Callithrix jacchus: one gene and its partner. The protein of the gene in region 2 interacts with the protein of the main gene of each other region in a pairwise test. Links are inferred from orthologs where the notes say so. Each region holds a gene or a part of one and is shown on either strand. Other genes may lie near its edges. The genes, in order: GRB14 and FGFR1.

What was found.
Region 1: the proteins of FGFR1 (region 2) and GRB14 interact in a two-hybrid assay, tested with the Homo sapiens proteins (2 studies listed by BioGRID, with this or other methods). The link is inferred for Callithrix jacchus from reciprocal best matches to the Homo sapiens genes FGFR1 and GRB14.

What each region holds. Positions count from the first base shown.
Region 1 is NC_133507.1:65,009,299-65,013,899, reverse strand, and holds the start of GRB14 (growth factor receptor-bound protein 14), read right to left. Parts: upstream 2,809-4,601; 5' UTR 2,638-2,808; coding exon 2,447-2,637; intron 1,215-2,446; coding exon 1,082-1,214; intron 1-1,081. UniProt on the Homo sapiens protein: Adapter protein which modulates coupling of cell surface receptor kinases with specific signaling pathways. Binds to, and suppresses signals from, the activated insulin receptor (INSR). Potent inhibitor of insulin-stimulated MAPK3 phosphorylation.
Region 2 is NC_133514.1:39,298,971-39,303,250, forward strand, and holds the start of FGFR1 (fibroblast growth factor receptor 1), read right to left. Parts: upstream 3,097-4,280; 5' UTR 2,437-3,096; exon of another isoform or gene 2,122-2,436; intron 1,845-2,121; exon of another isoform or gene 1,684-1,844; intron 1-1,683. UniProt on the Homo sapiens protein: Tyrosine-protein kinase that acts as a cell-surface receptor for fibroblast growth factors and plays an essential role in the regulation of embryonic development, cell proliferation, differentiation and migration.

The DNA of each region.
Region 1 (4,601 bases), on a different chromosome or scaffold from region 2:
TACACAGGGCTTCTATCAAACATATTTCCTGCTGTTTCTATTATTGCTGTATATGATCAAGAATTCACCTGCTTTCTAAGGTATTTCCTCCATTCCTAAAAGTATAAACACACGTAGTCGAACCCATCAGAGGTAATAAAGGTGCAGAAAGAAGAAAGAGAATAATAGATGTGGTAAAATGGCCAACTGCCTTGTCCTCTCTGTTCATTATCCTTCTCTCACTGCAAGTATCTAGCTATTTAAATTTATTGTTTCCACCCTTGTAAGAACAAGTTGCATTTCATCTAGTGAGACTTCTCTTTGTTTTGGTCAAAACTGGGAGAACGTATATGATAAGAGATAAATTATTCTACGAGACACTGAATATTTTTCCCCTCAAAATGTATAGCCATGATGTATTTTCTGTTAGTTGCTTGGTCCTTAAAATCTAATTTGCTTAAGTCAGTCCCAAACTAGAAACTTAAAAGAAGAAAATCATAAAAATACAGTCTTCTAATTATCAATTACAAGTAGTCTGTCTTCTGTAGCCAGAGCCTCCAAAGTGAGAAATCCACTGAAATGAAGACACATTGACCCTAAACTCCAAGTACTTTTTGCCATAGTATCACTAAATCACTTTCCTTTAGTAAATGAGGTTGGCTTTGGTTAAAAATGTGAAAAATTAAAGAAAGTATTAAAGGAAGCAGTCAGTCTGTTTCTCACATCATTACCACTGCCTGCCCAGCTCCAACCTCTGCCCAATTCCTGGCTTAAAAATGATCTCATCTCCTACCTATCTGGTGAACAACAATTGCTCCCAACCACTGTAATTTATATATATATATATATATATATATATATACATAATCTCTTTTAATCCATCCCAGGACCCTTGGAGGTAGGTTTTAACATTCCCATTATACACCTTAAAAAAATAAGGCCCAAAATGAAAATAATGCCAAAGGACTATGTCAGTCAACAGAGTTGTTTAACAGAGCCCATTCTAATTTTTTGTTGATACTGTAAATTGTGGAAAATCTTAAAGACTGGATGGATTCAGAACTCCTAAGATTTTTGAATTTTAAAATTTAAAAGTGCATACCTGTTTTTTCCTTGCATTTTCTTTGGAAAACAGGTCTGCTGACAACACAGATGTAAATGGAGAACAGCATAGCTCAGGAAAAGGGTTTGGAATAGATGGCATTTCCAGAACATCAAGATCTTTCTTTTTTCTCCTGAAGTAAGAGAACATAGGATGTAATTTACATAAAACAGAATGTAAAATATAATTGCTGTCAGGATTTAAAAGTGTGCTAAGGCCAACATGTACCACTCTGTGACAAAGCTCGTATTATATAAAGTATACAGAAAAGGTCTGTGATGTACTCTCTATGGGTCAAAATACAGTATGTTAATTAGAGATGAAAAAAATCTCTTATATTTCTCTCTCTCTCTCCTTTTCTCTCTCTTTTGCCTTTAAATCACCAGGCATGGAAACTCTATCCCGTTTGATAAACTGACTATACCATTACTAATGCAAACATCACCCTGAGGAGTCAGACATTGTTAGGCTTCCACTATATTGACAAAGTCTCTAAGTTACATTTAGTGCATTCGTCCTTATGATATTTTACTAATCACTTTTGGAAGTTATCATTTATTAATTATAGCTGTGGTTCATCTCACTTCAAATTTCATTCACAATGTTGCCCACACACAGTCTGTTGACATTTCAATTGCTTATAGATATTAAACAGTGAGGCAGTGTTTTGAGGACGTAAGTTAATAGAACTTGATAGTATAAACCACTCTAGTCCACTAGAAAGTAATTTTAACTTCACTGAAGTTGGAGTGCTTTGAAAATCAGGGAAAAAAATGTAACGTTTAAATGTATGAATATAAAGGACTGCAGATTTGTGAATTTTTGTATCCTTCCCCCCCCCCCCCAAAAGTATGTGCAACTCTAAAGGCACTTAGTGGTGAATGCTATGGATTGGGAAACCTTTTAAAACCTCTATTCTTTCCTGTTGAACAGCAAGACTGCTCAAATGTCAATCCATGCATTGCTTCTACAGGGTCGCTGTAAGACTCTGTGTGGGAGGTGAATACATTTATGCTACGATTTTTTTAAACATATAAAATAAAATAGAGTTTCCTTTGTGAAAATGCAGGGCCACAAAGGAGCAGAAGGTGATCAACCTGCAGCCTGGCCTCCTAGTTTCACACCGATGGGAAGAGGCGAAAGAGATGAGAGCTCTCAATGAAACGGTGATGCTATTTATAAGGCACTGTGAGATCGCAATGTCCTGCTGGTCCGGTAGGAGCCAGCTCAAAGAGGATTGTCTTCAGAGACTTTTACAAACTTGGCCCAGCTCTGGGCACATGGCTCACCCCCTAGGACCGCCTCCTTACCCCCTCGCCGGCTGCCCAGCCAGGACACTTCCCCGCGCCCTCCAGGGCTGCCTACCTGTCTGCAGCACAGCCGCGGGTCCCGTCCGGAGGGGGCAGGAGCGTTCGCGCGTGCAGCCAGGGGGCCGGAGCCAGGTCGTGGGCGTCGCCCCTCCCCTGGGCAGCGCCACACACCTGGGCAGCGAGCGGCGAATCCCGGGCAGCCGCCCTGCCCGCGGCGCTCTGCCCATCTTGCAGGGAAGTGGTCATTGTCGCCGGCAGGGGGGCTCGGGCGTCATGGGAGACCCGACGCGTGGGGAGAACTGGATCGCGCGGCGGGAGGCGAGGTGCAGGCTAGGCAGCCCGAGCGCTCTGCAGGTGCGGTGGCCTCGCAGCCTGCGCTCGGGGCCCGGGCGGCTGAGACAAGCGGCCGAGCAGTCTGCGAGGCGGCGGCGGGGGAGGGGAGGGGGCGGACGAGGAGGGTGGGGAGAGGGGAGGAGCGGCCGGTGGGTGGGGGCCGCGGGCGGCGGGGCGAGGCGCGGAGGGGGTGGGGAGGGCGCGCGAGCGGCGGGCCAGCCCCGCGCGTGGCCCTGGGCGCTCGGGGCCGCTGGCGTCGCTCCCCGGCCGTCCGCTCCGGGACGCTAGGCAGGGACCGCCGCCGCCTCCCCAGGTGGGCCTCGGGACGCGAGGCTGAGCCCAGGGTCTGGGCCGCCCCGGCGGCGCCGGAGGCGGGGACGCAGCCGAGGGGGTGCTCCCGCTGGGCTTGCGGGTGGGAGGGGGGACCGCTGGCGGGACAGGGGTCTGCGCAGCCCTGACCGTCCCACCCTTGCATTCTTCCGCTCAGCGATCTGAGATCACCTAAGCTGTTGCTGGGCCGCCATGACAGTCCCCACCGGGCCAGGAGGCCAGGAGGCCAGGAGGCCAGGGTACCAGGGGGCTGGGTTTGCCCCAGTCCTCCCCCAACGTGCTGCTTCTTCCATCCACTCCGCAGCCAAAGACTGGGGGGCTGCAGGGGAGGGATGGGGGAGCAAGGAGTCCAATCATTATAGAAACTACCGAGATGTTGAGAATTCCCAGTAAAGCATGAGTAAACCTGAAGGTGTCTGAAATTAGAAAGACTATTAGTTTTATTGTAATGAGAGAAGCTTACACTAATGAATTCCATGGTGCCTTACGCTACCTATTCCAACCTCTCAACAGCTCCGTAAATTAGATGTTTACTTCAATTTACACAAATGAAAACTGGGGCTCAAAGCCATCGCCTGTAATCCCAGCACTTTGGGAGGCCAAGGCAGGCAGATCAGCTGGGGTCAGGAGTTCGAGACCAGGCTGGCCAACATGGCGAAACCCCGGCTCTACTAAAACTACAAAAAATAGCCGGGTGGGGTGGCTGGTGCCTATAATCCCAGCTACTGTGGAGGCTGAGGCAGGAGAATCGCTTGAACCTGGGAGGCAGAGGTCACAGTGAGCCGAGATCACACCATTGCACTCCAACCTGGGCAACAGAGTGAGACTCTGTCTCCAAAGAAAGAAAACAAAACAGTAACAACAATAACAAAAGCGTAGCACTAGTAGCTGGCGTAATCAATATTCCAACCCAGAAGTTGCGTTCTCAAAAACCCAGACTGTTTGAAATGGTAATGGCATTATTATGCTCACGCTGTGACATGCAGCAGCCCTACTCTGAAATGCTGAGTGATCCTGTTTCTGCTGTTCCAATAAGTGTGCCCGTCCCTGGGCACTCTTGAGGATTTCCAAATGTTTCACAGGGTCTTTGTTCTTTGACCAAGTTAGGTAATATCTGTCCCTGGCATCTGCTTCACCAGGTTTTCTTAATTTCAACAACCTCTGCCCAGGGAAAGGTAAATATTGCCTCCAGAAGAAAGCAGCAGCTCCCCTCCCCCATCTCAGTGCATCCTCTCCCACCGAGGCACCGACCACTAGACAACCCAGGGGTCACTAACTCCCAGCCTGCCAGGAGACCTGGGCACTCGTGAAGACAGATCTTTGAGTCAAAGTTCAGGGAATCCAAATTCTTCATTTTTCTAGTGAAAATTTAAGGCCCAGAAGTGTACCTGGGTCACAGTGGGTGTGATCTCTGGGATCCTTTATAGCAGGAGTCCCCAACCCCTGGACCCTGGACCACACCATACCAGTCCATGGACTGTGTGGAACTAGGCCACAGAGCAGGAGGTGAGCCAGCATCACCCCGAGATCCCTGCCTTCAGTCAGAT
Region 2 (4,280 bases):
ACCCTGCACCCGGAGGAAGGGTCAGAGGCAGCCCCAAGCTTCTCCTAACCCACTGTGGGGAGGATATGTAAACAAGTCATTAGGGAGGCAGGTCATCGGGACTGACGGCCGGCAATGGCAGAGGCTGCTAGACCTCGGTTCTGACAGAACGGTGGATGACCCAGGCCAACGTGGGTCCCACAGGGCCCTGCTACTTCGCTTTTAAAGAAGCCTCAGGGAGGAAACCGGGAGCCCGAGCCAAGGGAGGAAAATGGCCACTTTCTGCTCAACAGTCTCAAGGCTAAGGTTTTCCCATTTAGGTGGTATTCCAAAAAAAGCGCTGGTCCGGAGGTGCAAAGGGCAGGGCACATCTGCGGAGGAAACAGTCACCTTAATTACCACGTCTAGAGAAAGTGCGATTTCATTACAGCCTCCAAAACTACCGCCCAAAGAAGGAAACCAGAGAAGTGTTTTCAATTTGAAAGAGACTGGAAAGAAGCGGGTGAGAGACCGACTCTCCCGACTCTCCCCACCCTCCTGCAACTTTGGACCACAAGGTGCTTTCCTGCCTCAAAGACTATGACCAAACACAACTTGACAATCCAACCCCCGCTTTCAAACCTGTGGCCGTTATTTAAACGGTAAAATGTCCCACTTAGCTTCCGGGGATGTGGCCCAAATCAATCCTTAAAAACACAGAGAGCACCTCTGGCAACAGCCGCCCACGCCCCCCGGCCCTGCGCACCGGGCTCGCTCCGGGAGGGGAAGAAGGGGCGCGTGACGCCACCGCGGGGCGGCCGAGAGGGGACCGCGGGCTCCGGGCGGGGCAGGCGCTCCTGCAACTCCAACTGTAACTCAAGGGAAAGAAAGCAATGCTTTGGTTCCAGAAACTTCCATCGTCAAGGCCACTTCTGGCCAGACGCACGGCCAAAGAGCCCCCCTAGTCTAGCGGATGAACCGTTCGCAAGTGCTATCCCCTAAAACCTTGGCCCCATCTCCCAAGATGCCTCTTTTCTGCGCAATCCAGAAAGCACCCCGACCGCCGTCACCCACCAGCGGCGGCGAATAACTTGGTGGGAACTTAAATAACTCGGGATTCAAGGGAACTTTCTTTTCTCCCCTGAATCTCAATGCCGCATCTCCAAGTCTCCAGAAATGATGAGGAGAGAGGTGGTCAAGGCGAGTTGAAGAATCCGAGTTTTAATTTGGGGGAGGGGGAGGGGAGGAAGAGGTAAGTTAATAATGCGGCTGCGGTGTACCCGTGTGGGGTGAAACGGAACCAGATGCGGCCGCCACATCTGGAAAATGGGGATGGGGGAGGGCTAGGGGAGAACCGCACCGTGGAAATGTTCTTCAAACGGGCTGATAGCTTCTGGGCCCAGAACAAGAAACAGGCTTCACCCTCCCTCCCCCACCACCACCACACAAAGTGTCTGGCTGCCTCACAGGGGGTGTTCTATATGAACCCCATCTACAACGTCCACAAATTTCTCTGCCGACGTGGGTCGTAGCCTCCCTTTCTACCAACACCAAACATAACGGGAGGGGACGCGGAGCGCAGAGGGGTCTGGGCTAGACAAGCACACGCATCGCAGCCGAGTGAACCGCACCGGACAAAACCCACATCCCTTCCTCCACCTCCAAGAACCAGATTGGGACGGAACAGCCCCGGCCCCAGCCCCAGCCCCTGCCCCCGCCCCATACCTCGGCTTAACGACCGCGGGTCGTCCTCCCGTTCCCCAAACTTCCGACCCTTTCTGAGACCGTCCAAGTAGATCACCCCTTCTGGAAAGGGGAGTCGTTTTTCGCTTTCAGCTCAAGCAGATTCAGCCATTTGGTGACGACACCTCCTTAAAACGTATTCCAAGAGAAGCTAACCTAGCTCTCCACGTCCTCCGCATTTCATCCCCCCGCCCACTCGCCCCCCACCCGGACCCCAGACTTTCCCGGGGGTGGAAAAGGACTTAGGAATGTCACGGATTTTTAGCGTTGAGCCCAAAGCTACCTGCTGAATTGGGGTGAATCCCCAAAAGGGGACTAAGAAGAGATGGAGCGGAATGCAACACACACACACACACACACACACACACACACACCGCCCCCCTCGCCGCCCACTCCAGCCCTGTCCCTCCCGGGACTCACCGAGTAGCCGCCGCCGCCGCCTCGTCAGCTCCCGAGCGCGAGTTGGCGGAAAAGTTGGGCGGCGGGAAGACCGGCGGGACGAGCGCAGGGAGGGGGCGCAGAAGGCGACGCGGGCGGAGGGAAGGGAGGGGAGACCCAAGGGGGGCGCGGATTGCCGGGGAGGGAGCCGGGAGGTGGAGGGGGCGGGCGGCGAGCGGAGGGAGGCGCCGGCCCCGGCTGGGCTGCGGCGGGCGAAGCGCGCAGCCGGAAGGCTCCGGCGCCTGGGGCTGCTCGGGACGCTAGTCCGCCCCGGATCGGGGGCGCCGCGGCTCTTACCTCGCTCGGCGTGGAGGTTCGGCCTCGGGAGAGTCTGCCGTGGCTTGTGCGAGAGGGCGTGTGCCCGCGTCCCCGGCGCCGGCCCGCCGCCCCCGGGCTCTGTTCGGGTGCTGGCGGGGTCGCGAAAGCCCCGCGGCCGGCGCTCGACTCCCGGCAGCGCTCGGTACTCGGCGCCTCCAGCCCGAGCGGGAACAATGGAGCCGGAGCTGGTGCCCCGGAGGCGGGGCGGGGGGAGGGCTCCCGTCCGCTGCCCGGGTCTCCAGACCCTGCGCCCCCCTTCTCCGGAACGCAGCGGAGGCGCCTCACGCTCCTTGCAGACCAGGATCCATCGCCCCGCGGAGGCTCTGGCGCCGCGGCGTGCCTGACTGCAGCACGGGTACCGTGCGTCCTGCGGGGCGCCCCGAGCTCGGAGCAGAGAAAAGTCCTCGGGCTCCGCGGCTTTTCCAGCAGCGGCGCGCTCGCGGCCGGGGAAGGCGAGGTCGCCGCAATGCGCTACGCGGACTCTCGGTCCGGTCCGGTCCGGACGTGGCCGCCTAGCTCCTGGCACTGCCCGGGTTCCTCCGCGCCCTGCGGCTGCACCGGCGTCCCGGCTCCCGCTGCCTGCCGCCCGCCGCCGAGGCCGCCGAGCCTGTGGCCGCAGGAGCGCTCCGAGCGCTGTGCGCCGGCGAGGCGCGAGGGCTCGCCCTCTCACTCCCACCAGCGCTGGTCCCTCCTCCGCCTCCGCCCTCTGCCGCTGCCTGCTGGGCCTTGTAGTTCCCGAGCCGCGGCCCCCGAGGAGGGGGAGCGGGCCAAGCTGTCCTCCGCTCGGCCCTTCCCTTCCCGCAGCCTGGTCTCCTCTGGCGCTCGCGCCGCTGCATCTGAGCACGTCCCAGAGGGCGCCGGGATTTCAGGCCCTAGACACAGCAGCCGCGTGGGGGGCCAGGTGAAGAGACGCTGCAGCCCTGAGGTTGTACCTGGTAGCGTGGCCTTTGGAGTCTGTGCGCCTTGGGGAAATGATTTTCGCGCTCTAATCTCGGTTTTGCCATCTGTAAAAGGGGAATAATAGTGCTTTTCGTATAGAGTTGAGGCGTCAACGAGGGCCTGGCGCATAGTTAACACTTAATAAATACAAGCTGATTTTATTCTTGAGAAGGTCAGCCCCTCCTCAAACCCTTCCTTTGGATCTCAGCTTTCCCCAGCCACATAATTTAGGTTTTGTGGTCCACCGGGAACTGGACTCTGTAAATTCTTCAGCGATGTTGTTGGCCTCCGGAAGTCTCCAGCCTGCAGTGAACGTCTAGGAAGCAAAGAGTAAGCAGTGGGAGTTGAGGGGAGAGGTGTGGTTGGTTTGGAAATTAATCACAGCCCACTCAGAACACCCTCCAATACTATGGAACCTGGGAAAGTGGCTAAAATGCTTCCCCCTGAGTCTTCCGTGGAATGGTATAATCTAGTGGTTCCCTAATCCAAATGGACACGGGTCCTGTAAAGAACTCTTGAAAAATACAAATTCATGGGCCTGCTCAGACATGAGGAATCGCGCTGTCCCAGGAAGGAGCCAAGAATCTATGTTTTTTCCAAGGCTCCGTGGGGCCTATGATGTGAGCCCAGGCTGAGGCCACTGTTAGGGTGGGAAGCAGGAAGCTCTAGGGCTGAAGGATTCCTCCATTCTGTCCATTTATGAAGTTTGATGCAGGACAAGTCATGCATCTGATAAAATCAAAACAGGGGTATCTGTTGCTACTCCTTCACAAGATGGTCATAAGAATCAAATACAATAATAGGCATCAGTGTGCCAAAAATATTACACAAATAAATGTCACTATGTAAGTTAGTGGCAGGGCCTGTTCCCTCACCATCACCCA